Lepisosteus oculatus: one gene and its partners. The protein of the gene in region 2 purifies or fractionates together with the protein of the main gene of each other region. This does not show direct contact. Links are inferred from orthologs where the notes say so. Each region holds a gene or a part of one and is shown on either strand. Other genes may lie near its edges.

Evidence for each region. Proteins that work in one complex are often made in the same cells at the same time.
Region 1: the proteins of bud23 (region 2) and trmt112 purify together in Homo sapiens (affinity purification with mass spectrometry; 5 studies listed by BioGRID and IntAct, counting the BioPlex papers as one, with this or other methods). This does not show direct contact. The link is inferred for Lepisosteus oculatus from reciprocal best matches to the Homo sapiens genes BUD23 and TRMT112.
Region 3: the proteins of bud23 (region 2) and ube2o purify together in Homo sapiens (affinity purification with mass spectrometry; 5 studies listed by BioGRID and IntAct, counting the BioPlex papers as one, with this or other methods). This does not show direct contact. The link is inferred for Lepisosteus oculatus from reciprocal best matches to the Homo sapiens genes BUD23 and UBE2O.

Annotation. Positions count from the first base shown.
Region 1 is NC_090713.1:23,019,600-23,029,800, reverse strand, and holds trmt112 (multifunctional methyltransferase subunit TRM112-like protein), read right to left. Parts: upstream 4,263-10,201; 5' UTR 4,109-4,262; coding exon 4,034-4,108; intron 3,147-4,033; coding exon 3,045-3,146; intron 2,967-3,044; coding exon 2,874-2,966; intron 1,878-2,873; coding exon 1,776-1,877; 3' UTR 872-1,775; downstream 1-871. Other genes in the region: prdx5 (peroxiredoxin-5, mitochondrial), read left to right, coding at 5,219-5,284, 7,153-7,287, 8,008-8,142, 8,776-8,907, 9,507-9,545, 9,649-9,713, 10,017-10,125. UniProt on the Homo sapiens protein: Acts as an activator of both rRNA/tRNA and protein methyltransferases. Together with methyltransferase BUD23, methylates the N(7) position of a guanine in 18S rRNA.
Region 2 is NC_090721.1:873,909-883,044, reverse strand, and holds the start of bud23 (18S rRNA (guanine-N(7))-methyltransferase), read left to right. Parts: upstream 1-4,627; 5' UTR 4,628-4,902; coding exon 4,903-4,950; intron 4,951-5,849; coding exon 5,850-5,887; intron 5,888-6,469; coding exon 6,470-6,565; intron 6,566-7,186; coding exon 7,187-7,269; intron 7,270-8,144; coding exon 8,145-8,241; intron 8,242-8,326; coding exon 8,327-8,423; intron 8,424-8,861; coding exon 8,862-8,912; intron 8,913-9,136. Other genes in the region: dnaJ homolog subfamily C member 30, mitochondrial, read right to left, coding at 3,033-3,995.
Region 3 is NC_090704.1:45,373,237-45,383,255, forward strand, and holds the start of ube2o ((E3-independent) E2 ubiquitin-conjugating enzyme UBE2O), read left to right. Parts: upstream 1-5,757; 5' UTR 5,758-5,886; coding exon 5,887-6,312; intron 6,313-6,637; exon of another isoform or gene 6,638-6,801; intron 6,802-10,019. Other genes in the region: aanat1 (serotonin N-acetyltransferase), read right to left, coding at 506-659. UniProt on the Homo sapiens protein: E2/E3 hybrid ubiquitin-protein ligase that displays both E2 and E3 ligase activities and mediates monoubiquitination of target proteins. Negatively regulates TRAF6-mediated NF-kappa-B activation independently of its E2 activity.

The DNA.
Region 1 (10,201 bases), on a different chromosome or scaffold from region 2:
GGGTCAGGGTCCGGGACGCCCGGCCGGGCTGGGACGGCCCGCTGCAGAGTGGGGCAGCGTTTGGAGAGGTTCGGGTACTGAACCGGGAAGAGCACTCTGAGTTCGTCACGGGTTTGCGGTCTCGTCTCTGTCTAGCGTGTGCGTGTGCGTGTTACAAGAGCAATAACTCCTCTATACGTCACTGGTTTTACCTGCTATCGATCAATATGAGCAGTAGTAATAACGATCATTCTAATCCAGAGGGAAGCAGGGAAGAAGAAATTCAATAATTACCGTATGATGGGAGAGAAATGTATTTAAGAGCTGAAATCTATTTTTATTCCCCACGACCTCTCCGGGACTGGTCCCGCCTCCTGCTGGTGTCCCTGGGGTCAGGTGTGTTCCTGTGCTCCTCTGTATTTCTTTTTATAATAAAGCCACACGAGCGCACCGCTCCTCTGGTCTGGCGTGTTCTTGTGTGACGCGGCTCTCGACGGTAGGTGGAACTGACCCTGTGTCCACACACAGCTGTCCACTGTATCTGTCTCTGTCCACACCCACACCTGTCCACTGGACCTGTCTCTATCCACACCCACCTGTCCACTGGACCTGTCTCTATCCACACACACCTGTCCACTGGACCTGTCTCTGACCACACACCTGTCTCTGTCCACACACATACCTGTCTACTGTACTGGTCTCTATCCACACACACCTGTCCACTGGACCTGTCTCTGACCACACACACACCTGTCTACTGTGCCTGTCTCTGTCCACACACCTATCTCTGTACAGGATCTGTGCACCTGTTCCCTGTCCTTATCACATGTACCCTTGACGTACCCGTCCAGGTCAAGAAAGAGTGGAAGAAGACCTGAGGACACAGAGAAGCTGGTGGTCGAGTTTAACTTTTATTTTTTCTGTTTCACAGACTCGACATGTTTGTAGAACACGGGGTCTGTCTCAGTCCTACACTGGACAAAAAACTGAAATCAAATTTAAATCACAGCAAGACGGATGAAAATAAATAGTTTATAGCACAGCAGCTGACAGCAGTGCCCCTGTGTCTGGAGCGAGTTCATTCACAGGAGCAGGCTGGCCTGCCCAGAGGGGTCAAGGGTCAGTCTGGACCAGTGGCAGGGGTTTGTTCAGCCACCCCAGCGGGTGGCCCCTGTCCTAAATCAGCTAATCAATGAACTGACCAAGTCTGCCTCTGCAGATCATATAAGAGCCCAGCCCTGACCCCACTGGACACCCCAGTGCAGTGTGACCCCCAGCACTGACCCCACTGGACACCCCAGTGCAGTGTAACCCCCAGCACTGACCCCACTGGACACCCCAGTACAGTGTGAGCCCCAGCGCTGACCCCACTGGACACCTCAGTGCAGTGTGACCCCCAGCACTGACCCCACTGGACACCCCAATGCAGTGTAACCCCCAACACTGACCCCACTGGACACCCCAGTACAGTGTGAGCCCCAGCGCTGACCCCACTGGACACCTCAGTGCAGTGTGAGCCCCCCCAGCCCTGACTCCACTGGACACCCCAGTGCAGTGTGACCCCCAGCCCTGACCCCACTGGACACCCCAGTGCAGTGTGACCCCCCCAGCGCCGACCCCACTGGACACCCCAGGGCAGTGTGACCCCCAGCCCTGACCCAACTGGACACCCCAGTGCAGTGTGACCCCCCAGCACTGACCCCACTGGACACCCCAGTGCAGTGTCACACAGTGAAGAGCTGGTTCAGACACAGGGGCAGGGCTCGTGTCGGTAGCTGTGAACAGACGTATTCTCTCTAACTCTCATCCTCACTCAATAGCATGTTGGGGACCCCCTTGGTAATGGGGAACTGGTGTCCCGACTCTGGACACTGCAGGCTGCCCTCCATCACCTCCACCTGAGAGAGAGAGAGAGAGAGAGAGAGAGAGAGAGAGAGAGGTGGGGGTTACCCCTGGAAAACCAAGTTCTTTACAGCTTCCAAGATACATCTTTGGACAGTGAGAGGCAGGTGTGCAGGGGAGAGTGAGAGGGGAGAGTGAGAGGGGAGAGTGAGAGGCAGGTGTGCAGGGGAGAGTGAGAGGGGAGAGTGAGAGGCGGGTGTGCAGGGGAGAGTGAGAGGGGAGAGTGAGAGGCAGGTGTGCAGGGGAGAGTGAGAGGGGAGAGTGAGAGGCGGGTGTGCAGGGGGAGAGTGAGAGGCGGGTGTGCAGGGGGAGAGTGAGAGGGGAGAGTGAGAGGCAGGTGTGCAGGGGGAGAGTGAGAGGGGAGAGTGAGAGGCAGGTGTGCAGGGGAGAGTGAGAGGGGAGAGTGAGAGGCAGGTGTGCAGGGGGAGAGTGAGAGGCAGGTGTGCAGGGGGAGAGTGAGAGGGGAGAGTGAGAGGCAGGTGTGCAGGGGGAGAGTGAGAGGCAGGTGTGCAGGGGAGAGTGAGAGGGGAGAGTGCAGGGGGAGAGTGAGAGGCGGGTGTGCAGGGGAGAGTGAGAGGGGAGAGTGAGAGGCGGGTGTGCAGGGGGGAGTGAGAGGGGAGAGTGAGAGGCGGGTGTGCAGGGGAGAGTGAGAGGCGGGTGTGCAGGGGGAGAGTGAGAGGGGAGAGTGAGAGGCGGGTGTGCAGGGGAGAGTGAGAGGCGGGTGTGCAGGAGGAGAGTGAGAGGCGGGTGTGCAGGGGGAGAGTGAGAGGCGGGTGTGCAGGGGGAGAGTGAGAGGGGAGAGTGAGAGGCGGGTGTGCAGGGGGAGAGTGAGAGGGGAGAGTGAGAGGCGGGTGTGCAGGGGGAGAGTGAGAGGGGAGAGTGAGAGGCGGGTGTGCAGGGGAGAGTGAGAGGGGAGAGTGAGAGGCAGGTGTGCAGGGGAGAGTGAGAGGCGGGTGTGCAGGGGAGAGTGAGTGTGCGCAGTACCAGCTCACCTCCAGCAGCACGCGGTGGACCCTGCGCAGGAACTCCTCGTCCTTCTCGTGCTCAGGAGCCAGCTCGTTAGGAAGGTCGTTCAGGTGGCCCAGCTGGAGAGAGAGAAAGGAGGAGGGTCACAGCCCGGCCGCGGCCCCAGCGGTCTCTCCGAGACAGGACAGCTGACTCACGCTGTCGGCCGCCTGCACCAGCACCCCCCACTCCAGCTTGGGAATCATCCGGGACAGGAACTCCGGGTTAAACTCCACCTCACTGACCTGCACCTCCGTGGCCTGAGCAGGGAGACAGAGAGACAGAGAGACAGAGAGACTCGTTACTCAGACTCAACCCCATCACGGCACAATACACACAACGCACAACACAGCCTGGACACAGACACTGGACACAGGCAGACCTGGCTGCCCAGAGAGGACAGGCTCAGTGAGCACAGCCTGGACATAGAAACTGGACACAGGCAGACCTGGCTGTCTAGAGAGGACAGGCTGTGCTCCCACTGCCAACAGGGAGAAATGGAGACAGAGGTGCACTTCCTACTGCACTGTGACAGACACTCTGGAATTAGAGAAACATTCTTCCCGAAATTCAGAAATCTAATCCCAGAGTTCCCACACCTGACAGAATCACAACGGGTCCCAATTCTACTGGGAGAGGGAGGAGGGAACTCAATTGAACTGGCAGCCCAGTATGTGATCTCCTGTCCCAGCCTGAGGAACAGTGAGTCTGTCTCCCACCAATGCTCCAGATGTTTATATGTGAATATCTCATGACCGTGTCTTTATTGTAAATGTCTGTAGATTGTTGTTTTATGTGAACTGTATTTGTTTTGCTCTGGCAACACTGATTGTACTCACCGGTCATGCCAATAAAGCACCTGGAATTGAACTGAATCGATACACAGAGAGGCCCGTCAGGACAGAGAGACGCGCATGGAGGCAGATTCTGTCGTACACTTCACACTTTTAACAGCGCAGTGCTCGCTATATTGTCAGTCATTGTAAAGACTGTTAAAAGGTACAGTGGTTTAGTTAGGGCGCCATCGGTCATACTTATTTTAAACTTCTTTAACTGAAAAACACCCCCCCATAGTATCGGTCTGTAATGAACTGTCCTTGCGTGAACACATGCGCCCTAATGAGCAGGGGGTAATTAACAGCCTTACTTTAATCAGCAGCGGGTAGCCCTTGGTGACCCCCTTCACGTGCGAGGTCAGCATGTTGTGCGTGATGAGCTTCATCCCGAGACGGGGGCCGACACGCAGCGAGACACGCTGGAGGAACCGTGGGAGGCACACGCGCGGGATCAGCGTCCTGGTGTCGCTGTGGGGAAAAACTCACGCCGAGTCGAGAGGCCCACCGGTGGTGTTTGTGGTGGAAGCATGGACCGGAAGAAGCGGGAGCTGGTACAGCAGTAAAATACGTCCCCCAGGACGCACACGTTGCGGAACAACTGGTTCCGCCACAGAATGAGGAATCGAACGAACCCACGTTTTATGGTACAGATCACACGGCGTTGTTTTTCTTGACAACAACTCCCGCAGCTCGTCACTATGTTCAAGAATCACCCGGGGGATTTCTAAAGAGCCCTTACGGAGTGTGGTAAATACATTCCCGCTTCTCCATAGGGAACACGGTTTATTCCACGCTGTTTCGGCACACCTGTATGAAAGCCCCTTTCTATCGGGGAGTAAAAACAACGCGCTATGGCATCTCGCAATTGTGACTTTGTATCTCAGAATTGCGACTTTATATCTCAGAATTGTGACTTTGTATCTCGCAATTGCGACTTTTTATCTCACATTGGCGACTTCGAAATAGCCCACATTTCATTGTCTGTCCTTCTGTTATTGTACCGGATTCGGGTTCTGGGGCTCTGTGCCCCTCGCCGCTCCCGCCCTAGTTCGTGCCTCAGTTGAGTTGAGTTTTTAAGTGGCGATTCTGAAATAGACCTTCACCTGTTCCTTCTCATCCTGACCCAGTCTCTTACAGGAACTGATCCTCCCTCCGCCCGTTCCTGGCTGCTGTTGAAAAGATTCTCGAACAATGGTGCGCTTGGGTTTCAGTTACAGAGGAACTGGGAGGTTCCGTCAAGAGGCTGGGCTCTGACCCGACCTCTGGCTCAGTAACAGGGACAGGGGAGTGACCACCCGCATCAGAGCCTGTGGACAGCGCGTCTGTAAATACCGGGAGAGAATCTTCCAGTCGGGGTGACGTGTCCCCACTAGTCACGAACAGAGAAACAGGAGAGGAGAGGAGCCCCTCAGCCTGTCTGCTAACTGGTCCCCGGCTCTCATCCGGCTGACTCCTGAAAGACATCGGGGTGTCCTGTGGCACACACCTGTCCGTCTATGGACACGGCGGCTTGTTCCACACTCCCGCCACCCTCTGTGTACAGAAGGGCCTCCCGCTCCCAGGTTTGAAAACACCGCCCTGCTCTGCGTGGTGGGCCGCAGTTGAGTGGTACTAGTTTACGGACAAGAACGAGTCGGCCCAGAGGCGTGCAGGGGGACCGGTCAGCCCAGATTAACCCCAGACCCGCCAGGCTGTGTGTTAGAAAACACCGCAGGTGTAGCTGGACACCACCAGGCTGGCGGTGAAACGCGCGCCCGTGTGTTTGGGGGGGCACTCTGCGCCCACTGACCCACATAGAGAGCTCAGGGGCACCGCGTCTCTCCCCGCCGAGCCGGCGGCTCCAGTTTCACTTCCTCCTTCCTCCTCGGTCACCACGGCAACGGTCATCCGGGGCCGTTTATTTTCTCGCTGGCTCATCCTTCCAGGAAAGCGGGTCATTACATCACCACGGGGAGGCGGGGCTTATGACGCGGTCGCCAGGGCAACCGGCTCCGGGAATCCCAGCGCACCTGAGGGGAATTTGTAAAGCAGCGCAGGTGGGGAGCGGCGTCCGCAGGGTCAGGCTGCAAAGGGGACAAGAAACAGGTTTATTCCAGGTGGAGAAGAGAAGAGAGAAAACGCAACGTTTCTCTCACGCCTGAAGAAGGCCTCACAGCCGAAACGTTGTGTGTTCTCTCTTTTCCGCCTGGAATAAACCTGTTACTTGCTCGGGTGTTTGTGAAGCTGTTCCGGACGGACGTGCAGAGTTTTGTTTGCAGGCAGTCAAAGGTGCTTATTTAGATTTAAGGATTTCGATATTTTATGGTAATATGTAATAGAAACATTGGAAAAAGAGCATTGATTTATAGATACTTTATTGATCCCGTGAGGGAAATTGCAGTGCAACAGCAGCTTTACACAGACAACACAGCCGCAGTGTGACGAATGATACAATAATAATAATAATAATAATAATAATAATAGTACAACACATACAATACAATCAGTACAGTGAGGGGTGCACGAAAAGAGTTTCTCACAGTCTGGACACACAAAGAACAAACTAGAACAGAACAGTACACAGAAAAATCGTATCACACATATGAATATATAGATGTAAATATAAATGTATTGCTATGCATTATAGTAAATTTATTAGCCATTCTGGGTGAACTTCACAGTCACAACTCAAAGTGGTCTAATAGTACTCCCCTTTATAGTACTTTTGAGGTGGAGTTGAAACACTATTTAAATTCCATAAAAGATGTGAAAAATGCTAAAGCAAGGAGCACATTTGATTTTACACATCTGTAAAAAACACCCTCTGATCACGCAATTTACTTCATCCCCTCCGGCAGCTGACTGCTCCTGTTTCTTCCTCCTTGTTCCTGTTTCTGATCCTCTGGTTGGATTTGTAAATTCTTCATACGTTTAATACCATTTTTTAAAACAATTCCAGGCGTGTGAGGAGACAGGCGGGGGGGACCCCGGGTGTGTGGGGGAGACGTGGGGGGCTGCCTGTCGCCTTGCACGCCTGTCTGAACGAGAGGCCCGACGCGCCGGGGCCGCTGGATACCTGATCCGCGCGCAGTAATCGGACCCGGGTCCTGTTGTGGGTACAAACAGGCGCAGTGTGTACATCACACGGGCCTGCCGCTCCTCCCGAGAGGCCTGATGCAACTCTCGCACACCTGGTGGGGGTGGGCACCTGCTGCTGCCTGCCTGCCTGCCGGCACTGGGCCCCTCCTTCCGCCATGTTGGCTCCGGCGGTGGAGTACGGCCGGGCGCTGCGGCTCCGCAGCCGGAGCCAAAATGGCCGCCGGTTTCCAGTTCGCAGTTTGTCCCGTCACCAGGGGTGGACGCACTGTCTTCGCTAGCGAGTAGTTTCTCCTTCTTGTTGTCTTTCTGCTCCTCACGCCCCCCCCCCCCTCCTTTCCTCCCGCCTCCTCAGAGCCCAGATCCGCCGTCGCTATATATAGACGCGCACCTGCGGGGCAACATGATTCTCGCGTCGCTGGCCCGAGGAACGCTGCTCCTGCCCGCACGACGCCTCCACGCCTCTGCCGTCGCGAACATGCCCATCAAGGTAAGAGCCAGCCCGGCCTCTGCGGGACACGCACGGCCCCCCGCTCGGCGCCTGCGGGACACGGGCTGCGGGGGTTGGGGACCGGGGCTGCCGGCGGTGCAGGTCTCGGTGGGCGGCGGCGGTGTCGGGGCCGAGACTCCGCCAGACTTCTCCGGAGTCCCGACAGCTGACAACCCAGCCCTGAGCGCCGGGACGAGATGGGCGACGCCGAGCGCACGGTCCGCCCGGGCCTTCTTCATCCCGGCCGTGCTAATTAATGTCATATATATAATAATGTGACGCAGGGCGCCGCTTACACAACGCCGCTCCCACAGCACCACCCCCCCGCCCCGCCCCACCGCACACGGCTCCAGATTTCAACACGCAAAAAGAAGAAACTGATTTCTAAACGCGCCTGGCATCCGGCTCTGCGTTCCTGTTTCATCACGCGTGGAAGTGTTTCCTCATCTCGGAAACCTTTCATTTACTGGACGCGACCGTCTCCTTCCTCCTTTCTCCGCCGTGTGTCCCCTCCTATTCCTTCCCTCCTCCGCCGAGGCGCCGTGTCGCCCCTCCTGCCCGCAGGACGGCTAGCTCAGGGGCGCACCCCTCGCTGCGGGTGGGCGGCTTGTTCCCGGCACCCACCGCCCTCAGTGTAAAGGTGGCGTCGGTGCGCCCCAGTCCTGCCGCTCTGTGTCCGTCTCCTCACCCCCTCCTCCTCCTCCTCCTCCTCTCTCCCAGGTAGGAGACAAGCTGCCCGCAGTGGAGGTGCACGAGGGAGACCCGGGGTCGAAGGTCGCCATGGACCAGCTGTTCAAGGGGAAGAAGGGGGTCCTGTTCGCAGTGCCAGGGGCTTTCACCCCCGGCTGCTCCAAGGTACGGCCCAGAGCCCCCTCCCCTCTCTCTCTCTCAGTTCACTTCAAGGTGCTTCACTGGCATGACCTATGAGTACAATCCGCGTTGCCAGAGCGAAAGAAATACAACCTACAGACATTTACAATAAAGACATGGTCATAAAATATTTACAAACAGACATCTGGAGCATTACTGGGAGACAGGCTCACTATTCCTCAGGCTGGGACAGGAGATCACACACTGTATTATTATTATTGAGAGACAGGCTCACTATTCCTCAGGCTGGGACAGGAGATCACACACTGTATTATTATTATTGAGAGACAGGCTCACTATTCCTCAGGCTGGGACAGGAGATCACACACTGTATTATTATTATTGAGAGACAGGCTCACTGTTTGCTGTTATTTATCTTGGTTAGATATTCGGCTAGTGTGTATTGTCTGTTTAGGGTTCTGCAGGTAGGTTTCTACAGATCTCCATGTGCAGAGTTTCTCTGGGGTGAGTGTACCCCTGGTCTGTGAGGGGACCCCACACTTCCCTGCCGTATAGGGCAGTGGGTTGGAGTACACTCTGAAACACCTGGAGCCAGGTTCTTGCTGGTGGGTTGGTGTTGAAGAGCCTCCTCCTCATTCCCCTCTCCCCTGCCTGCAGACTCACCTGCCCGGCTTCATACAGCAGGCGGACCAGCTGCGCGCGCGGGGCATCCAGGAGGTGGCGTGTGTGTCCGTGAACGACGCCTTCGTGATGGAGGCCTGGGGCCGGGAGCACAGCGCCCAGGGCAAGGTGAGGGGAGGGGGTACTGTCACAGGGGCGAGGGGAGAGGAGGGGGTACTGTCACAGGGGCGAGGGGAGAGGAGGGGGGTACTGTCAGGGGGGCGAGGGCGCGAGAGGAGGGGGTACTGTCACAGGGGCGAGAGGAGGGGGTACTGTCACGGGGGCGAGGGCGCGAGAGGAGGGGGTACTGTCACAGGGGCGAGAGGAGGGGGTACTGTCACAGGGGCGAGGGCGAGAGGAGGGGGGTACTGTCGCGAGGGCGGGGGGAGAGGAGGGGGTACTGTCACAGGGGCGAGAGGAGGGGGGTACTGTCAGGGGGGCGAGGGCGTGAGAGGAGGGGGGTACTGTCAGGGGGGCGAGGGCGCGAGAGGAGGGGGGTACTGTCACAGGGGTGAGTGTGAAGGGAGGGGGGTACTGTCAGGGGGGCGAGAGGAGGGGGGTACTGTCAGGGGGGGAGGGGAGGGAGGTACTGTCGCGAGGGTGAAGGGAGGGGGGTACTGTCAGGGGGGCGAGGGGGAGAGGAGGAGGGGGGTACTGTCACGAGGGGGCGAGGGGGTACTGTCGCAGGAGTTTCTCGCTGACCCGCGGCCGTCTGTCTGTCCCTGCAGGTGCGGATGCTGGCTGACCCCACAGGCGCCTTCACCAGGGTGAGCAGCAGGGGGCGCCGGCGGGGGGGGGGGGGCAGGAATGGGGGGTATTTCGGCGTCTGTGAAGTTCTGATCTCTGAGCCGCTGGTTCTCTCTCTCTCAGGCGGTGGACCTGGTTCTGGACACTGAGCACTTCCTGGAGGTTCTGGGCAACCCGCGGTCCAAGAGGTGGGTCAGGGCTGGGCTGGGGGGCGCTCTGCGAGTCATTGACCAGTCCCCAGGGGCTCTCGCTGCTCTGTCCCCCCCGCTGACCAGTCCCCTGGGGTAGAGGGCAGCCTGTGGTGGCCTCCGCTGACCAGTTGGCGAGATGCCCTGGGTGTAGTGTGTGGGAGTGGGGACTGGACACAGCTGGACAGCGGGCGGGTCTGTGTCCACTGGGGGAGCAGCGTGTTGAAGTGGTCACTCTCTGCAGGGTGTGTGTGTCCGAGTGTTCACGGGCCGCAGTGTGACGCTCTGTGTGTGTCCCCGCAGGTACGTCATGCTGGTGGAGGACGGTGTGGTGCGGAAACTCAGCGTTGAACCGGACGGCACCGGCCTCACCTGCAGTCTGGCCTCCAACGTCCTGTCGGAGCTGCTGTGAGCCGGCCGGGCCTGTGGGCGTGGGCCAGCCAGGACCGGACTGGACCTCAGGCTCCCCAGTGCCTGGCGGCAGCCGG
Region 2 (9,136 bases):
GGATTGGACAGCCCTGGTCCTGGAGAGGTCCCTGGCCAGCAGGTTTTATAAGTGACTATCAAATTAAATAATCAATTTCTAAAGCACCGTAGCAACATAATGATAAATTAAACAGGTGATCTGTGACAGTTCTGTAATTTAGAGATCTTTACAAACACACATCTGTATACCCTTCAGCTCTCAGGAATCAGATTAACCTCCATTAAACAAATTTCAGGCTTCACTAATCAATACCCGCAAGAGGTGGAGGCTCCACTCCCCACTGGGGTGGAGAGTTTGGAGAACCCCCAAGACCTGGATCTGGGTTTTTCTGGACCAGGTCTGGAGACCCCTGCCTTTAAGAACACAACAAATTAAAACTGTGACTGTGGCAGGATTTCTACTTGCTGAGCTGATGTAACACCACGCAGTAAAATCGCTCACAAGTGGCCCAAACACAAAAAGTCTCCTTACTACCTGAGAATCTCCAGTCTTTATCATCGAAAGTGTCCGCGCGTGGAAGAAAAACTAACGCCCTATACAGAGACTAACAGAAAGGCCCCAGTTTCTGCTCTCCGAGTTCTCTTCTGATGCCGCTGGACTGTCTCTCCCCTGACCCTAATGAACAAATGTTTATTAAAAAAAACACTGAGCAAGACAACAAATTAAAGAAGAGACATAAAAAAGGAATAAGGCTGATCACATAAATTCTAGAGATAAGCAACTGACCTTGCTGGCAGAGTTTTGTTTACCAGCAAAATGCAATCTATCAGTAATCTATATTACTTTCATGAGAACAACGTCAGAAGATTAATGTGTTTAGTTTTTCCAGTCTCTATTCCACAGAGTTGATTTTGCCACTGAAGTATGATGAGAGGGAACACTGCTGTAGGACTTGCCTTCAAGGGTCTGACTCCTCTTTCAAAGACTCTGTGGCAGCTCGTGTGAGAGTGGGGGTGCACACCCAGCGCCCTGGATAGACTCCCCTCTGGGCGTCCAGAGTCTGGCCTCCCGAAGCTCTCCTTCCTCCAACGGGTGCAGTCCCTTCTCGCTCCTCCCCGATCTGTGCAGTGGGGCAGCTCTTCAGAGCCGGGTGAAATGGGTCCTCTTCCAGATGTGAAGCTTTTTTTGGGAGCCTCTGGGAAGAAAAAACACACAAGAAATTCAAGGAGGTTGTTATTCAGGTGTGGTCGAACCCTGGTGAAGGAGACGATTTGCGCTGCGAATAGCGAGCTTTCCTGGGGACACTGACCTGGTTGAGCAGGAAGCCCAACCCGTCCATAAGGGCGGGGCTGGCCGAAAACACGCCTCGCTGGGAGAGATGCGAAACCTGGCAGCGTGCCGGGGCGTCAGCGGCGCCAGCCCCCGAGTCCGGGATGAGCCAGTGAAGCTGTTGCACTTCTGTGCAGGGGCTCCTGCCAGTGGGCCGGCGCTTCAGGGGGCCTGAAGTGGGTCCCCTCCTATCTGCACGGGTCTTTGGGATCTCTCAGGATGGAAAAGCACTACATGAACGCAATTAACTCGTCTACAAATTACAAGGAAAAGACCACAGCATATACAGTGTTCTCCCATATATTTTATTCTTTAAATACAAATGTACATATTCTATTCATGACTGGAGTTAACATGCCCCACCACATTCATGACACGAAAGAAGTATTCAGATTCTTTTTTTTTTCTTTTACGGCCTAAGAAGATTGTGTTTTATGAACCTTCTCTTTTAACCTCGCTGTTTAATGAGCATCATGGTTTTCCTGCACATACACGCAGCCACACAGTGGCGAGACAGTCACCATCAGTGCTTTCAAATGAAAACCTTGGTGGTTTCAAGGTTTTTTACACCAGTAAGGTTTATTCTGGACACGTGCAGGACCTCTGGGGAGCGCTGCTCTGTCTAACCAGGCGTTGCCAAACATGTCCACACAGTAGTTATTTAATAATAATTAATAATAATTGCTTATACTTATATAGCGCTTTTCTGGACACTCCACTCAAAGCGCTTTACAGGTAATGGGGATCCCCTCCACCACCACCAATGTGCAGCATCCATTGTGAGCAAGACTGCTGGAGAGAACGCCTAGGGAGCCCGGGACACTACTGACACCATCTGTTTCCTGCTGAATTCCCCAAATCAGGGTGGAAAACCCTGTGAACTTACTTTCTGCTGCCAACTTCTGGCAGCAGGTATAGCTAATGTGCTGCAGCCTGTGTAGTCTTGTACAGCACTGTACGGCATGTTAGTACTGTAGCACTCAGAGCTCCAGCTGAGCTCCTCACGGTATCCCAGATAGCAAGCCCCACACACACATTTTTGAAAACATTCCTGGTGCTGGACAACCTTTTAATAAAAGCAATACAACCATTATCAGTATTTGACTGTTCATGTGTAACAGCAAATTGTATCAGCACAGAAATTTGCTTAAAAAGTTATCTTTTTCCAGGAAATGACAGAGGATTATAAAATCCCAGTTATCTCTGTCAAACAACTGCCAGATATTTTAGTACTTTTTTACTGGCCTTAATATTTTACCAGCCTGCATAAATTGAGCACACCTGTAAAGGGATTTTCCAATTTGACTGAGAATGAGTTTGAATTAATCACCTGACACTGATGCACCAGTAAATGTGATTCAAAGGGCTTGTTTCAGATCTCAGAACAGCAAGCAGCACCTCAAAAATATCCTCCACCCAAGGAATAGGTGGGGTGTTTTAAAATGGATGGATCACTCTGCCCCCGGTTTAACCTGACGCAGAAAGAAGAGCTTGGGATCCAGAAAAACACTGGATTCTCAAGACAAGTTGGAAATATACCACGTATATGAGTGTAATGACAATAAACTTGAACTTGAAACACGTTGTCAGCACCTTCCCTTGACACCTTAAAGACCAGCATCAGGAAATGATGACCAGACGAGCAAAATAAGTCCAAGCTAAATTCGAGGCCCTAAATAGTACCTGGCCTGGCAGGTGTGGCAGGGCCCGACGGGCCGTCTCGGGTCGGTGCCGCAGCGCTGGCTGCCCCTGTGTCCGAGCGCAGGGGTCAAGGGCGCCGCTCAGCCGTGGGCCCTGGTGTTGAACAGGAAGACCATGCCGAGCGCCATCAGCAGGCCGGCAGACACTTCGGCCAGCTTGCCCATCCGCCAGCGCGCGCCCTGCGCCCGCCGCCGCAGCTCCTCCTGCCGCCACCGCTGCGCCCGCTCCCGCGCCAGCTGCTCGCCGTAGTGCTCCCGGTAGAAGGCGTCGAAGTCGAAGATGGGCCGGCCCCCGGGGGCCCCCTGCGGGGCGGCCGGCCCCGGCGGGGGCGCGTCCCTGGGCGACGGCCGGCCGGCCTCCCGCACGTCCTCCTGGCTCAGCAGCCCGCGGTCGTACTTCCTGCGCAGCCCGGCGCTGCCCAGGACGCTGTAGGCCTCGCTGATCTGGAAGAACCGCAGGGCGGCCTCCTTGCTGCCCGCGTTCTTGTCGGGGTGGTAGAGGAAGGACTGCCTGTAGTAGGCCGTCTTGATCTGCGCCTGCGTGGCGCTGGGGGACACCTCCAGGATGTCGTAATAGGCCGTCCTGCTCCGGTGGAGCGGCGGCGCCTTCCCGGCGTGCCCGCTGCAAGCGCGGGCCGGCTGCAGACCGCCCGCGAGCCCCCGCGCCTCGCGCCCGGCCCTCTGCCACGCGCGGTGCCCCCCGGCTGCCGCGAGCACGGCGCCGCGCGCCGGCCAGACGAAGCGGACCTTCCGTCCGGGGCTTGTGAGCGGCGCGACCCCGTCCTGCCCGGCAGGCAGCTCACCGTGTGCGGGCAGTGCGGAGTCGCCGCCCTCCGGGGTGGCGGGCTCGACCCCAGCCTCATCCGTCTTCCCCGGCCAGCTCCCAGACTCCCCGGCAGCCGGCGGACACTGACACACGCCATGGACTTCGTTAACTATCCGAGCGCTCGCCTGCGCAGTGCCGAACCCCGCAAACGCTGCCTTTTGCCGGCAGGTCAGGACTCTGCAGGCTCCCCTTCCAGCTCTCCAGCTGACCTCCGCCATCGCTGCCGGCGAACAAGCGGCAGCAGACAACGTCCAGTAGGTCTGACAGCCGACCAATCACAGAGATACACTGGGGCGCGATCGACCAATCACAGAGAGACTCTGGGAAGCACGCCGGAAGGTGCGGCCCAGTTATCCAATCAGAGACGACCCGGAAGCCGTCAGCGTCACGTGTGGAGAACATGTTACACAAGAGCGCACTTCTGAACTCATATTGAATAACGCGAAGTAATCAGAAATAGAGTAGACTTTCATCAGTTTCAGTTTTCCCACGGCTTAGTACACAATCGTACATCAGTTATAGTGAAGAAAACGTATTACTAAATATGTAATAGACGTGGTCTGAAATACTGAAAACTAAATATTAGGTTTTAGAGGAAAAATAGTATAGAAAGTATTATAAACAGAATTATAAAGAAATTATTTCTACCACGTATTATTACTACGAAATGTCTGTAGAGGTTTCACAGTATTTTTGGAGTAGACACTGTATTGCTACTAATTGTTTTAGTAAAACAGAATTAGTATATTCAGATAAGGTCAATGTAAATCTAACAGCAGCGCTAAGTAAAGCGTACTCAGTAGGAACATTATGAGCCAATCCTACAAAAAGCACAGTAGCTCCCATCGACTAATCAGCCTAAAAATATTCAATCTATGCATACCGTAAAACGAAACGCGAATTACTTTAAGAATTCGTCTCTCATGTAATTGCGGTTTATGATACACTCCTTGAATTAGAAAAAATGAAACACTCTTTAACAACTGAATTCCAGCCACTGAGTCGCAGAGTGATGATGTCATGCAGTCCGGCCATGTGTCTCTGGGAGACGTGAGGGGTAGCCGAGAGTTTGTTGGGGACTGTTCGCCCTCTTTCTGTGTTGCTGGTTTCAGTTGAAAACCAAACATGTCTTCGAGTTGTCGTAGACCCGAGCATATGGCACCGCCAGAGGTGGTAAGTGGCCTGTATTGTGCTTAGTTATTCCGGTGTTTTCATGAACACGGGCACCAGACGAGCAGTGCAGAAAGCAAGCAGGGCTTTTAAGACCGAGGTGTGGTGCGCTTTCCATGTTGTACTGTGTTGAATCTTTATAAAGGCATGTTCAGAAGTTGGAGGCGGTCTTTCTACCTTTGCTTGTATTTATACTTCAGTGGTATAACGTTACGATGACTGTCGTTGTGTAGGGTGTTTAAGGTGCGCACGGGAACTTTTCTAGGTTTTAATGTGTATGCATATTCGACGGAGCTGTGTTTAATTCTGTGTAGGCAGTTTTTACTGCTAATCTTGTTTACCATCTGATGTTGTTTTCTTACTACGAGCAAATTCAGCCGTGAGTTAATGATCTTTTACTTATTCCATCTACTGCTGCACAAGATATGAATCCTCCCGATCCCACTGTTTACTCGCCAAGAAGGCCAAATAACGTCCGTGAACAGACACAGTAATATTAATATATTTAAAACAGCATCTGTCTGAAAGAACTGTATCCTGTCTAAATTGCCAAGAGGTTTGCTCGGATCGTTTTGTTTTTCTACGCTAGTTCACTGTATGCACTCTAGGAAAAGGAGCATTTGAGGTTTTTGAGAAAATCCGTTCTGACTAATGGTTATACATAGTCATAGACATAGACATCGTCAAAGTAATGCATCTCACTGCAATTAGAGGGCCACTTTAAGGTGCAGGTAATTTATTGGGGTCGAGCTGCCCTTCTCAAAGCAGGTGAGGAGGAATATTGCTGTCACACAGGGCTCTGAAGCCGGATCCAGTGCCATGTGCCAACTGCTTTTTTTCTTGAAACTGGCAGGGTCATGTGATACTTGCTAGAGTAATCCTGTGCTCTTTTCATTCTGCAGTTCTACAATGAAGAGGAGGCCAGGAAGTATTCACAGAAGTAAGAGTTTTCTCTTGTTGTCTGCAGATTGTACTGGAAATTCAAGTGTTGTTCACAGCATTTGACTTTATACCTGTGATCACTGCACTGCCTTGCTGTTAATCTGAGATTTTGAGTCAAAGGTCAATTCTGTGCCTCCTGTCACAGTTTGCTGATTTCTGATCTGTTAACTCTTGTTAGAAATGTGTTCTGTGCTTTCAGTTAAATCTTCTTAAACTGTTGCCTTGCATTTTCCACTGATACCCCTTCTACCTGTCTATTCTATCCCATTCTATTACACTGCCTCATTTCTTCAAAGTCTGCTTTCCTGATGTTGGTTGTTAATTCGGACTCCATCTGCAGAGTTTCACATATTCCTCCAAGCACACCTTGTTCTGATCAGTCAGTTCTGCATGCTTGCAGTGCCGTGCAGTTTGCTCCTGGGTTTAGAGAACATTAAGAACCCCCTTGCCTCTGTCTTCTGTGCACATAGCACCTGTTTCACTGTGGCCAGTTTCCCAGCAGCAGTTCAATACCTTCCGGCTCTCCGAGTCTGCCAGTCGATTCTCTTCGTGTGACCCTGGCGGTGTGGTTGGGTTGCAGCTCCCGTATGATCGAGATCCAGACCCAGATGTCTGAGAGAGCCGTCGAGCTCCTGAACCTGCCCGAGGACCAGCCCTGCTACCTCCTGGATGTGGGGTAAGTGTCCGTCCCCGGGGTCCTGGCTGTTTCAGGGTGACTGACCGATGCCTATAACTGCATGTCAGTGGCCTTTAGCTTGGAGTGTCCATGGTCCTCCGTAGCCACAGGGGGTTCTGCTTTTCATACAAATTGAGTTTTATTGTTTCAAGTCATTTGTTTTCTTCATCAGCCTTTTCACGGGTCTTTAAATAAATCAAATCAATACTGATCCTGGTCATAGAATTGATTTAAGAACTCCTGCCCTCTGTCGCTCACAGTTCGTAAAATATCTTAGATTGAAGCCTTTTTTAAAACATTTGATTCTCAGAGTAGTCTGTGCATTTTAGCAAATCTTTCATCAAGGCAGGCAGTTTTCTATACATTTTCCCTGTATGAGTCACTCCTGTTTTTATTTGGATCGGTTTTGGTTTTGTTCATCCTAGACTGAGTCTGACCCACTTCAGGTTTTCCAAGCTTCTGGCTGTTGTCCTTACTGTAGTGATGAAATGGAAAGATAGATCACGTAAAGCACTGTTTGTGGCGTTGGCTTGTGAAAGAACTTGTACTTGGTAAATCATGACATGGATCTTGCTGCTGCGGCGCTGGAGCCTGACGTGTTCCTCTGCTTGGTGGGTGCAGGTGTGGCTCGGGGCTCAGTGGGGACTACCTCTCCGAACAGGGACACTACTGGGTAGGAGTGGACATCAGCACGGCCATGCTGGGTAAGCCTGCAGCTTTCTTTTTCTCCACACCGCACCCCGACACACACAGACACACCTTCAGATCTTAGTGATCATTGCAGTGCTCTTACTGCCTGCTCTGTAATCTGTGCTCCCATTTCTCATAAAGTTCACTGGAAGCCAACTGGGTGTGGAGCTCTATCTTGGATACCCCTGCCTGGTCTCTCACTTTCACTAGTTTAGTGCTGTGGTTTTTAAGTACAATTCTGGCTGTTAGAGCCAGGTGAGATAAAATACTTCAAGCCTGCTTTCTCCGTCTCCTAACCCTGCCTTTGTGCTGTGAATTAAATTTGAAATTTCCTCTTGGTCTCTAGAATAGAGCTGCCTACCCGAGCACATCTTCCACAACTTCTCCTGAGTCTAGAGAGCTACAGCTTTGTAGGCTTTATAGGAAACTTAAACCCCTCAATGGACGAAGACCTGGTTAGACATCTTCCTCTCAGTCAGAGGTCCCCAGTCCTGGTCCTGGAGGGCTGATGTGTCTGCAGGTTTTCCAGGTCTCTTTTAAAGAACCAACACCCGAAGAAGGGAAAAAGTAGTAAATTGGTCCAGTTAAGCCCATAATGAGATGATCATGTAGTTAGAAGCCCAGCTGGCCTGAAAACCTCCAGGACCAGGACTGGGGATCCCTAATCTAAATCTTTTAAACTGTTGTGTGTAACTGAGAGAGAGAGGTGTGCTGGTGGAAGAACTAACTGAGCCTCACTATTGTGTGTCCTGACATGGGCTCAGTTATCCATAGGGAGAAAGGACCAGAATCAAAAGACAATCAAAGTCCCCTGTTATCCAGTCTCCTCTGTGTGGTGGTTGTGCATGTGACTCAAAGCCCTCTCACGCTTCTGCTCTGCCTGTGCCAGATGTGGCCCTTGACCGGGAGGTGGAGGGAGACCTGCTCCTGGGAGACATGGGACAGGGCCTGCCCTTCAGGCCCGGTGCCTTCGACGGGTGCATCAGGTAGGCCCCGCTCCCCCGGTCTCACCCCGGCCGGAGCCAGACCCCGCGCGCGGCTGACGTCTCGCTTGTCCTGTGTCTCTGCCAGCATCTCGGCCCTGCAGTGGCTGTGCAACGCGGACAAGAAGACGCACAGCCCCCCCAGGCGTCTGTACAGGTTCTTCAGCACGCTCTATGGCGCATTGGTAAGAATGGCCTGCATGCCGGGGGGCTTTAGTAGAGCCGAGTGTTAGCTGCGCAGCTTGGAGGCCTGGGACTGCAACCTCTTTTATTTCCCTTGCTTTTGGGATCATCGGATGTCCTCGTATCGGTGCAGGATGGGCGTCCTTGAGCACAGTGAGGGTGGGGTGTAGACTGGAGCTGCAGTAGGGGACAGGGTGCCGCTGTCTCTGGAAGCCCTGCGCTCCCGCGCAGGGGTCACTGTTGTTGCCAGCTCTGCCTGTCTTCACATTCACCCCTTAATCCTCTAGCCTGGCACCTTATATTTTGGATAGACAGGGATCTCTAGGCTGCACACTTTCTCATCCACATCCCCCACATTGAAGACCTCAGTTTTCTCCGTCTGTATCTTCTTCCTGCAGCGTGTCAGTGAGTATCTGTCACTTGTGTGTGTCTGTGTTTAGGCCCGGGGCTCTCGTGCTGTGTTCCAGATTTACCCCGAGAACTCGGAACAGGTGAGGAAAGGGGTCTTGCCGTCGGTGCTTTAGAGCTAAGGTTTCATTTGATCTACCTCTGCTTTTGCATTTTTCTAAATATTTGCGTTATTTTTGAAAACTCAGATGTATTTTAAGATGGTTTTGTACATGAATTGCAATCTGTCTTTCAAGCCAGCTGTTACCCTCTAGTCGGTCACTGTTCTCATCCAGATAACCAAAAGATTACTACGTACACCCCCTGA
Region 3 (10,019 bases), on a different chromosome or scaffold from region 2:
TAAAAAAAAAAGTATTATTTTTTTTTAAATCCGACGGGAGCGAACCAGCTCCGCACAAACCCCAGCCAGGGAGGAGACCCTTAACGCCGCCAAAGTCCAGAAAGTAAGAATTTCATCTCCCCCTTTGATGAGCTTCACACTGCCCTGTGACCTCACCTGCCTTCCCCATCAGTGAAAGTCAGAAACCAGCCAAACATTTCCTCCACTCAGTAACGCCTTCATAGCCTGGCAGAGGAAGGAAACCAAATGTTTCCCCAAGTCTACCAAGATCCTGGCCGTCGCTGTGACCTCAAGTTTTAGAGACAGGCGCATGAGCAACTTTTAAAGGCTCAACGTTTTAATTTTAGCGAACAAAACTAGAGCAGCGGGCGAGTCACGCAGCCGCGCGTCCAGCGCCGCCCGTTGTAAGGTCTTGCCTTCATGACAATAAGGAGGAACTACAGTACCCCCGTGGGAAAAGCCCCGCAGATTCACCTCCTCAGCTGGCGGGTCCCGGGCCTCTTACCTTCCCTCTCGATCTCGAACACGCTGATGGCGTCCTCGGGGCTGAGGCACCGGAACTCGCTGGCCGGCAGGGTGTGCCGGCGCTGGCGGCCGGGCGACAGCGGGCACCGCAGGTGAACGGGCTTCAGGAAGGGCAGAGCGCTCACTACAGACATATCGCACCGGCTGGCCTCTCGGGGAGAAGGTGTCCTCTGTGACTTCCGCCGCTCTTCGCGTTTTTTGCAGCACCACCGGAGCCGAGTCACCTGAGGAGAGAGAATGGCTTGATGGACTAGGGCAGCCCCGTATTTATACCGCTATGTGTCCGGCGATTTAAATTCCATTAAGCACCCCGGTCATTACTTAGGCTGGATGACAGCTCTGTACATTATCTTTACAAACGAGCGACACGGCGCGCATTTACATTTCAATTACTCGTGTTTGACGACTGCTTGAACAAAGGGATTGAGATGGGGTTTTTTTTTTTAAAAAAAACTAAAATCTGAGGTCAGCTGGTGCGGTCACAAAATTGAATCCGACGCTGCTGCTGCCTGAGTGTTTCTAATTGACGGTTATACCGTGTGAAGAGTTCAAACGACTGAATTGCTTGCGATGTACGAACTAGGTTGCCTTGTGACAGGTTGGTGATGTAGTTGGGACTATTGAACAGCATCCCTTTTGATATTTAATAATAGTAGGTCTTAAGTGTATGGACATAAAACTTAACACATGTTGTACTGTACCTTATTGTGTCTTTTAAAGAATATTTTACTGTTGACGGGTCATTCTGTTTTAAATACTCTAACTTGTGTGCTTTTTTCATCGGAAAACCGAACGAAGCGAAATACTTACCAAACACAGGAGAGTATATAGCGTCAGTGCTATTATTAACGGTTATTATGACCGCGAGTACGAATCTTTAACACACTCGTTATAATTAAAAATAGAGGCTATAATTCCACAGTGAAAAGTAGGAAAAGAGGAAAAGAAAGGGGGGCGCATGCGTCTGCAGAGGCTCTGCAGGTGTGAAGGGAGCTGGAATCATAATATCGATCATCCTCACACTTATATAGCGCTTTTCTGGACACTCCACTCAAAGCACTTTACAGGTAATGGGGATCCCCTCCACCATCACCAATGTGCAGCATCCACCTGGATGATGCGACGGCAGCCATAGTGCACCAGTGCTCTCCCCACACACCAGCTCTCAGTGGGGAGGAGAGCAGAGTGAGGAAGCCAGTTCAGAGATGGGGGTTATTAGGAGGCCAAGATGGTAAAGGCCAGGGTGAAACTTGGCCAGGACACATGGATAAAACTCCTCTTTTCGAGAAAAAAACTCTGATTTTTAATGGCCACAGGACCTCGGTTTTACATCTCATCCAAAGGACGGCACCTTTTTTTAAAGTATGTCCCCATCTCTATATTGTGGCATTAGGACCCACACAGATTGGAGGGTGAGAGCGCCCCCCACTGGTCCACTTACACCTCTTCCAGCAGCAACCTTATTTTTTCCCAGGGGTCTCCCATGCAGGTACTGGCCAGGCTCACACCTGCTGAGCTCCAGTGGGCTGCCAGTGAGGAGCTGCGGGGCGTTGTATCTGCTGGTTATAGGAGGCATGAATAAGGGGGAAAGGTGGTGGTTAGGAATTTAGGGATAATTTTTGCTTCCAGTTTGGAGTCAGAGTCCTGGAATCCCTGTAATGGACACAGAGAGTGAGGGTCAGAGGGACCGGGGTCCTCAGGGAGAACATGGGGAACTCACAGCTGGGGCAGATATGGGCCATCACGGCTCTGAACTGTCCAGTCACTGAGCAGGGAGAGCTGAAGATCCCCGAGTGGGGCAGTTAACAACAGCAAGAGCCGAAGATCCCCGAGTGGGGCAGTTAACAACAGCAAGAGCCGAAGATCCCCGAGTGGGGCAGTTAACAACAGCAAGAGTCGAAGATCCCCGAGTGGGGCAGTTAACAACAGCAAGAGCCGAAGATCCCCGAGTGGGGCAGTTAACAACAGCAAGAGCCGAAGATCCCCGAGTGGGGCAGTTAACAACAGCAAGAGCCAAAGATCCCCGAGTGGGGCAGTTAACAACAGCAAGAGCCGAAGATCCCCGAGTGGGGCAGGTCAGAACAGGGAGTGCCAGTGATGGCAGAGCACACCTGCTGTTGCACAGGAAAGGGTGAAGGTTCCTTCGGCACCACTGCTCTGTGGCAGCCTAGGCATGCTGAGGCAGCTCCCTGCTCCCCCGCATCCTGTGTCCCTCGGCGATCTAGTCGATTGTCTTAAATCTCTGATTTCTGCCTCCCACACTACCCCTATAACTTCAGCTGGTCATCTCTTCAGTCCCTTTCTCACACACACCCTCCCTACCTATTCTCTCAATCTCTTACCCTCCTCACCCCCCTCTCCGCCTCTCCCCCACCAACACCGGCTCTCTTCGCCTTCACTAGATCCTCCGCGCTTCGACAGATTCCCGTTCGACCCGCACCAGGGTTTGCACAATCATCGATTAACTATCTTTTTTTCGGGAAAAAAAAACTTCAGCGGATTTGTGAAATATTACGTGACAACAATACGTCCATGCGCGCAGGCCGCTCGAGTTAAAAGAGTGTTTAAAAGTTAAAAATAGTAAGCTACAGCGCACGGGTCACAACAGTTCCAACTTGTGTTTTTTTTTTTACTTGTTCGGCGCAAACGAGAGCAAAGCGCCCGCAAACTGCTTCAGTTCTCGGGGTGACTCACCCTGAGCGAGTGAGTGATTAATGTGCAGTTTCCGTTAATAGGCGCACACTCCACCCCATTAATTCTGTATAATTAAAATCCATTAACAGCTGATATAAAGGAGACGGCGCTGCTGTTAGGATGCTGATTTTGTGTCAAACATCAGACGTCATTTGAAAAACACGCAGAATTTGCTCCCGGTATTAGCTCTGCTTTAATCGGTGTTCACGAATCTCTTTTCATGAGGGATGATCTAATGATATGTTCAAAATCTTTCGAGTACAACCTTGTTTTTTTTTTTCTTCTTTACAGATCTTCTGCTAGCAACCTCTGTGATCGAAATAGCGCTTTTCTGGTAGTTTCTTTTCCGTTGGACGAAATCGTACATGGTACTTACCTCTGAGTGAAACTGTGTTTCTTAAAAGGAGGTGTTAAGCGATGCGTCAGCTGTCGGCTCCTGCCTCCGTCTTGTTTGACGCTGTTGTGCGCCGGGAACCTGCTTCTCGCACAGGTATGGCGCTAGTTCGCGGTCACGTGGTGGTCATTAGCGTCTCAGGTCAGTCCCGATCAGAAAGGCACGGCCCTTTGGACCAGCCTGTCAAGCGCCCGTAAAACACACTGGGTCCTGATGCCGAGGACTGTAACAACGGGGTGCAAAAAAAGTCGTGTGACTTTGTCTGCGGTACCCATCGGGCTTCGGTGTGTCCAGAAATCGGCCCTGCGCCAACCCACGTCTCCACATCCGCACGAAACTCCCGTTCTTGGTGAATTGTCCGGGCTCTTGTCGTTCTTCCCGGCATTTCAACTCCTTCCTCGCCAATAGGGAGTGAATGCAACCCCGTAGGCATGAAGCCTAAACATATCTGTTAGCGTGGGTACGGTCGTTTCAGCGTCCACCATCCTTGATGACTCAAGATGGGTGATTAAGCAGTGTACGGCTGGACATACTTGCGTCCGAATGAAACACAAAGAATCTTGCAAATGAAGGAATTTTACTTGCTTCGCTTTTATGGCGACATTGTTTCGCACCCTCCAGTTTTACGTGCAAGGACAGAAAGGCCCAAGTAAATTTATTCGACGACGCTGTTCGCACCCGTGTGACGGCGGATTCTACAGAACTCCCTGCGACAAGACGGGCAGAAAGTGAGAAGGACAGGTTTCACTTCCACCCTTGTCATCGTTATAAATCGTCGCTGCAGTTGTTCGGCGTTTTCAAACAACCCTGCCGCGCAATTTGCGAAACACACACCGGGGTTCTGGCAAACTTGAGACGATTAGCTTCGCCTGCGAGGGGCTGTTTTTGTGTGTGTGTGTGTAAAAAGACCTGTTCTTTTTCAGCAGAGGCTCCTGTCCAGGCTCGCTCGAGTACAATAAGCGCAGTAAGACGAGTCCCGATTTCATGGCTACCTGTAACCGAACCACACAGCACAATAGTGTAATGTCCGATACGTCATAACATTTTGAAACGAGATTAAGGAAAAGGAATGAGACTCATAACGGGTAGTACAAAAAAATGATTACCGAGTTATTACATGATGATATTGCTTTTCTAGAGAGTGTCAGTGCAGCGCTGGCGAATTACAGGTGTGTAGCCGACAGCGTGTCATTTCATTGTCTGCAAGAATAAGGGAAAGCCGTGAAATTATATTCCATACAGGGGACTATTGTTTCTGGATATCGTTGTGTTAATTACTGTACTGACGGGGTTTTTAGTCATTTTAGTTGAGAGCCTCAGCAACAGCTCGATACGCTGTGTTGTCTCAGCACAACTGAAAGCAAAGCGTCTCTCGAAACACCTCGACGCGCCCTCGGATCGGTGCGGAGGGAGCTATTTAAATGGAAAATATAGGGCGAGCCTGACATCTTGTGGTAAAAGGGATATTTACACCTCACAGGAATGAGTTGCAACTTTCTGCTCTGTAGGGGGGGGGCTGTTTCTATACCCATGGGTGCGCATTGAGCGAAAGGACTGTATTCTAGGGAGACTTTTGCGGGAAGCGGACACATGGTCAGGCACTCTGAAATGTATTTCTTCGATTGCAATCTTTATCTGAAACGAAGAAAAACAACCAGTGCGTTAACCGCCTTAATTCTGACTTTCACGGCAGCGTTTCTTATAAAAAGCCAATTTTTAGCTTGAGCGCAACTCTTAAGAAGCGCTGTGTGTTGTATTTCCGAAGGAGCATGATCCTGTTGAGCGATAATAATAATAATAATAATAATAATAATAATAATAATAATAATAATAACACCGCTTTCAAAGGGACAGCTCAACTTTTCTGTAAAGCCTTAACCTTTTCTGAAACTGCACATTCAGACTCGCGTTCCAGGAGGATCGAGGCCACAAACACTAAGAGAGAAGCCAAACACAAAACAGAAAAGACAAAGAGGGGGGGGACGAGAAATCCCTGAATACCCTTTCAGCTCGGCGGGGGGGGCGGGCTTCCCCCCTCGCCGCCCGAAGATGCGTGTGCGCCTATACGGAGGGTAATACGGCCCTCAAGCGGCGACACCTCTGCTCTGACGGTGGGCTCTCCCACTGGCGGCGCACGCAGGGCTTGCGTGTCGACGTAAACACGTGTGGTCCCTGGTTACAGATTTCTCTTTCTCTTTTCTCATCCTCCACTCCCCCCCCCCTCTCGCCTCTCTCTCTCTCTCATCACCCAGTCCCTGATTACGGCGATAGTGATGGCGGACCCCGCAGCGGCAGGGGTAGCGACGGCAGCTGCTGCTGCTGCATCTCCATCTCCCACCCCGGCCCTCTCTCCCGCAGGCAGCCCGGGCTCCGACCCGCCCTCCCAGGCTCTCTCGCCCTCGGCAGGCGGCTCCCAGCGGCTGCTCTTCTCCCACGACCTGGTCTCCGGCCGGTACCGAGGCTCGGTCCGGTTCGGCCTGGTCAGGCTGATCCACGGCGAGGAGGACTTCGACTCCGACTCGGATGTTGGAGACGGGGGAGGAGGAGGAGGCGGCGGCGGGGACGGCGGCGGGGGTGTAGCCGGCAGCTCAGACACGGAGAGCGGGGCGGCGGACACCCGGGCCCGGCCTCTGGGAAGAGGCTATGTCCGGGTGCAGTGGTACCCCGAAGGAGGCAAGCAAGACATCCGAGAAACCAAGGTAATCCTCAGCGCAGTGACAGCAGTGAGCCACAGTGGGCTTGTTTCACATTAGAGGTTATTGTCCGTGTCATGTCGCCTTCTTAGCTAGCGGTCCAGTCGCAAGTGCATTAACTAGTTTGAGCAAAGGGGAGGTTGGGTGTGCGCGGCACGAACTGTGCTAGTTTTATTTATTTTTAATGAATGGAGAGGTGAAGGGAGGCTACCTGCGGCTGTAGCTATGCAGCTGTGACACACACACACACGCACAGGAGCTCCTGCGAGGCGAGGCGAGGCGAGGCGAGACGTTTCCGCCTTGCGGAGATTTTGAATGAAAAAGGAAGGAGTCGGACCCGCTGCGCCCGGGCTCGGAAATGCCAACCTGTAACGCAGCCCGCCCAGACGCACCGGCGGCTTGAGGCTCGGTTCGGGAAGATCGCAGAGCGTGGTGCGGTCCACCCAGGAGGGCTGAAGTTCGCGGACGCGTCCAGTTCACAGTCGCATAGGAGAGGTGCGAGAAGGACCGGACGCTTTCAGACCTCAGGCGGTGCGGGGTTTCGATATCGCAGTGTGTGCTTGGCCTGCGGATCACGGGCCTGGAACAATAACGCTTTCATTGACCGAAACCGTTATAAAAAAAAACACAAATACCGCTCTGCCCGATATATATATATACACACGGTGCACGGAGCGGTGCAAAAGCGCAGCGAGACGCATGGTCGTGCCGTAGCGAGAAAAGGATCTCTTCTGCACCCCTTCCAGCAGAACAATAGTAAGAAACGAGGCGGCGAGTTCAGGGGTGTCTTTGATAGCGCTGAATGCCGTAATATTGACAAGTAAACTGCTCTGCTGCAGGGGAGAGGCAGGCCAGGCAGCACCAACTAATGGTTTTCAGAAAACAACCACCACCAGCACACCAAGGAATGAAACTGGGCCCAGCTTTGTATTATTCCTGGGGGGGGGGCTTTGTTTCCTACAGTGACTCTCTCCTGACTCCAGTCCCTGGTGCCACTCTTGCTTTGAGAACGGAGGCTGTGTTCAGTGGAAGGCCGGGCCCTCAGACTCGGTTCCCAGAGGGCCTGGTGTCATCTGTTTTCTCTTTCCAGCCCAAGAGCAGTCAATTCAACTTTTAACCTAATTATTTTCTTATTTGGACGTACCTGGGTGTTTGCGATGATCCTAAACGCGCACTTCACTGGAGGCACAGGTAACTGCAAGCCCCAGTGTTCAGCTGGAGCCAAACCCAGACGACTCCAGGCCCCGCAGGCACTGGGCTGGAGCCCCTGGTGTGAGGGGGTCTTGGTTGGTGTTGTTGCAGGCCTGTCTTGGGCTTATTGGGAGAGGCCTAGACTATGTGCCTTATCTCTGCCCTGAAGCTTGAGTGAGCGTTAGCAAGCTTGAGCCTGCTGCATGTTCATGGTCCACGTTAGGATGGACTCCCATGTGTACACGATTCCTTATACCTTTGTTCACTTAGCATCTGAACGGCTCTGTGGGGCCGAGCGCCTCGCTCCCCTTTCGGTTGAGAGTAGCTGGGGATGTTAACGGCGCTGTTTGCCGGGCTCTTTCTCGCCTGGGCCGTACTGGTAAAGGCTGTACAAGTCATCATTGTACAAAACAAAAGCAGCACAGGCAGTGCAGTGTTTGGCTTGCTGCTGAAGTGATAGATGCTTTATTGTCCGCTGCTGTGGAAGTTTGTCTTTGGCTTCTCCCACAGAAGCACAAAACATAAGAGTCTCGTAAAATCACATGGAATCACAGCAGCAGTATGATGCATAAGTACTCGGATAAATTAATAGGTAGAGGGAGGAGAGCCTTTCCATAATTTTATTGCAGAGGAGACATAGGACTTCTTATAAATGGTTTTTATTTGTTCCTTGCCGTTCTGAGAGCTGTATTATGACACCGGATGGGCGCTGCAAAACTGCATTAGTGCTTCTCCCTTCCAAGGCCCTGTTGCAGTTGTCGGCCTCTAATGTTACGCCTCGCTGCAGCGATTTCAGATTTCAGGGCGCTCGTGCTGCGGTAGAGGCCAGCAGGCCAAGCGAGCAAGCGCCCCTGTGTCTCGTGTTCAGAGACCAGGGCCCCTCTGCAGTCCGGCCCACGCTGCTGGACGTGACGCAGAAGTGGACAGGCACAAGCAGGCTGTTCCTCTTGGTGTTGAGGGAGTCCTTTCTCACTTAGAGGGTGCGCTGGTGGGAATGAATTCCTGGTGGCTTTTAAAACCTTTGAGTTGGCAGTACGACTGATACGACTAATGTGTTGTTGTTGTTTTTTTTTTTCCTCCAAAGACTTTGACGTTTTTCCCAGCACACACACCCCGTGTGGGGAAATCGGAGGTGAACGGTTTCTGTCCGCTGAAGGGCGCTTGTGGAGACCAAGGCCTGCCAGGACACAGTGTGGGACCCCTCTGGAAACACACATCTGGGGACTAGGGTTTGAGGGCTGACGGCCACCTCTCTTGACAGATCCTTAACACTCCCACCCCCCACCCAGGTGTCTCCAGTCTCGTGAAGAATTCATTAGATTTGTTTAGCGTCTCCAGACGTGGCTTTAATGTGCCTGTGTCTTGATAGCTGTGTCGTCAGTTTTCCCAGTCACGTGAACTCTCCTGGAGAGATTCCCCAGGGTGGCACGCAGACGGAGTTTATTACAGTCCTCCTCACACTTGGGCTGTCGTTTGTGATTCTGCGCAGGTGCATTTTCGTGTAGGGTACTTAAGAGCTTCAAGTTTGTCCTCGCCATCCTGTCTTCCTGACTGGCGTTATCAGAGAGCCGCGCTTGAAAGGAAACACTCGTCTCCTTGTCTGAACTCGTACTTACTGGGAGTTTGGTCAGTAAACAGGACACCACTTTAAACACCAGTTAATAACGCAAGGCTCTTACAGTGAGTCATATTTTCTAATTGCACTGTTTTATTTCCACAATTTTTCCCTTTTAATTTTTTTTAAACCTGACAGATTCCTTGATCTTTTTGAGCTGATCCGAGAAACATCCCTTTCTGGGATGCTTCCCTGAAAAATGTGTGGCTGACACTATCTCCTGGCCGTGCGACTGCAACTCCAGCAGTGAGACAGGAAAGTGTGGAAATAGTACTGCTTAAACTAACAAGTCCCACATTCTCCGTGTAGCTGAGCGCTGTCACATTTTTCCTTTGCATGTTAATATGTGATCGGTGTGTACGTACAAATCTGTCAGTTAGCTGCGTTGTTACCCAAAGTGCTCCATGGATTGAATACGTTCATATTATTGCATCTTTCTGATGTTTTTTATGTGCTGGTTTAAAAAGGTTGCGTGGCGATGTGAAAATAGATGGCCTAATTGAAAGATGGATTTCAGGGCAAAGCTTTTTTTTTGGTTTGTTTTGGAAGAACACGCCACGGATCGCCCTGACGCTCATTCTAGTTCTGCATTGCCGTCTTTTGGAATGTGGTGACGGGACTGGCACATGGCTCACACTCACTTTGTAAGACTCAGATCTGTGTGTGGGACTTGAAAAGGAGAGCTGGCCCCTGTCTCCCCGTGGAAGCTGTCATGCAGTGAGTAAGCACTTTGCAGGTGTTGTGCACCGGTGTTTGAGCAACTGATGCTTAACCACGCCTCCGTCTTTCGGATCTTTTAAGTATGGGCGTTCATCCTTCTCCATTTCTGTCTCGGACCGAACGCCTGTGGTTTCCTTCTTCTCTTTCCGGATCCTTGTGCAGAATCCGAAGCCCCCTCATCCCCAGG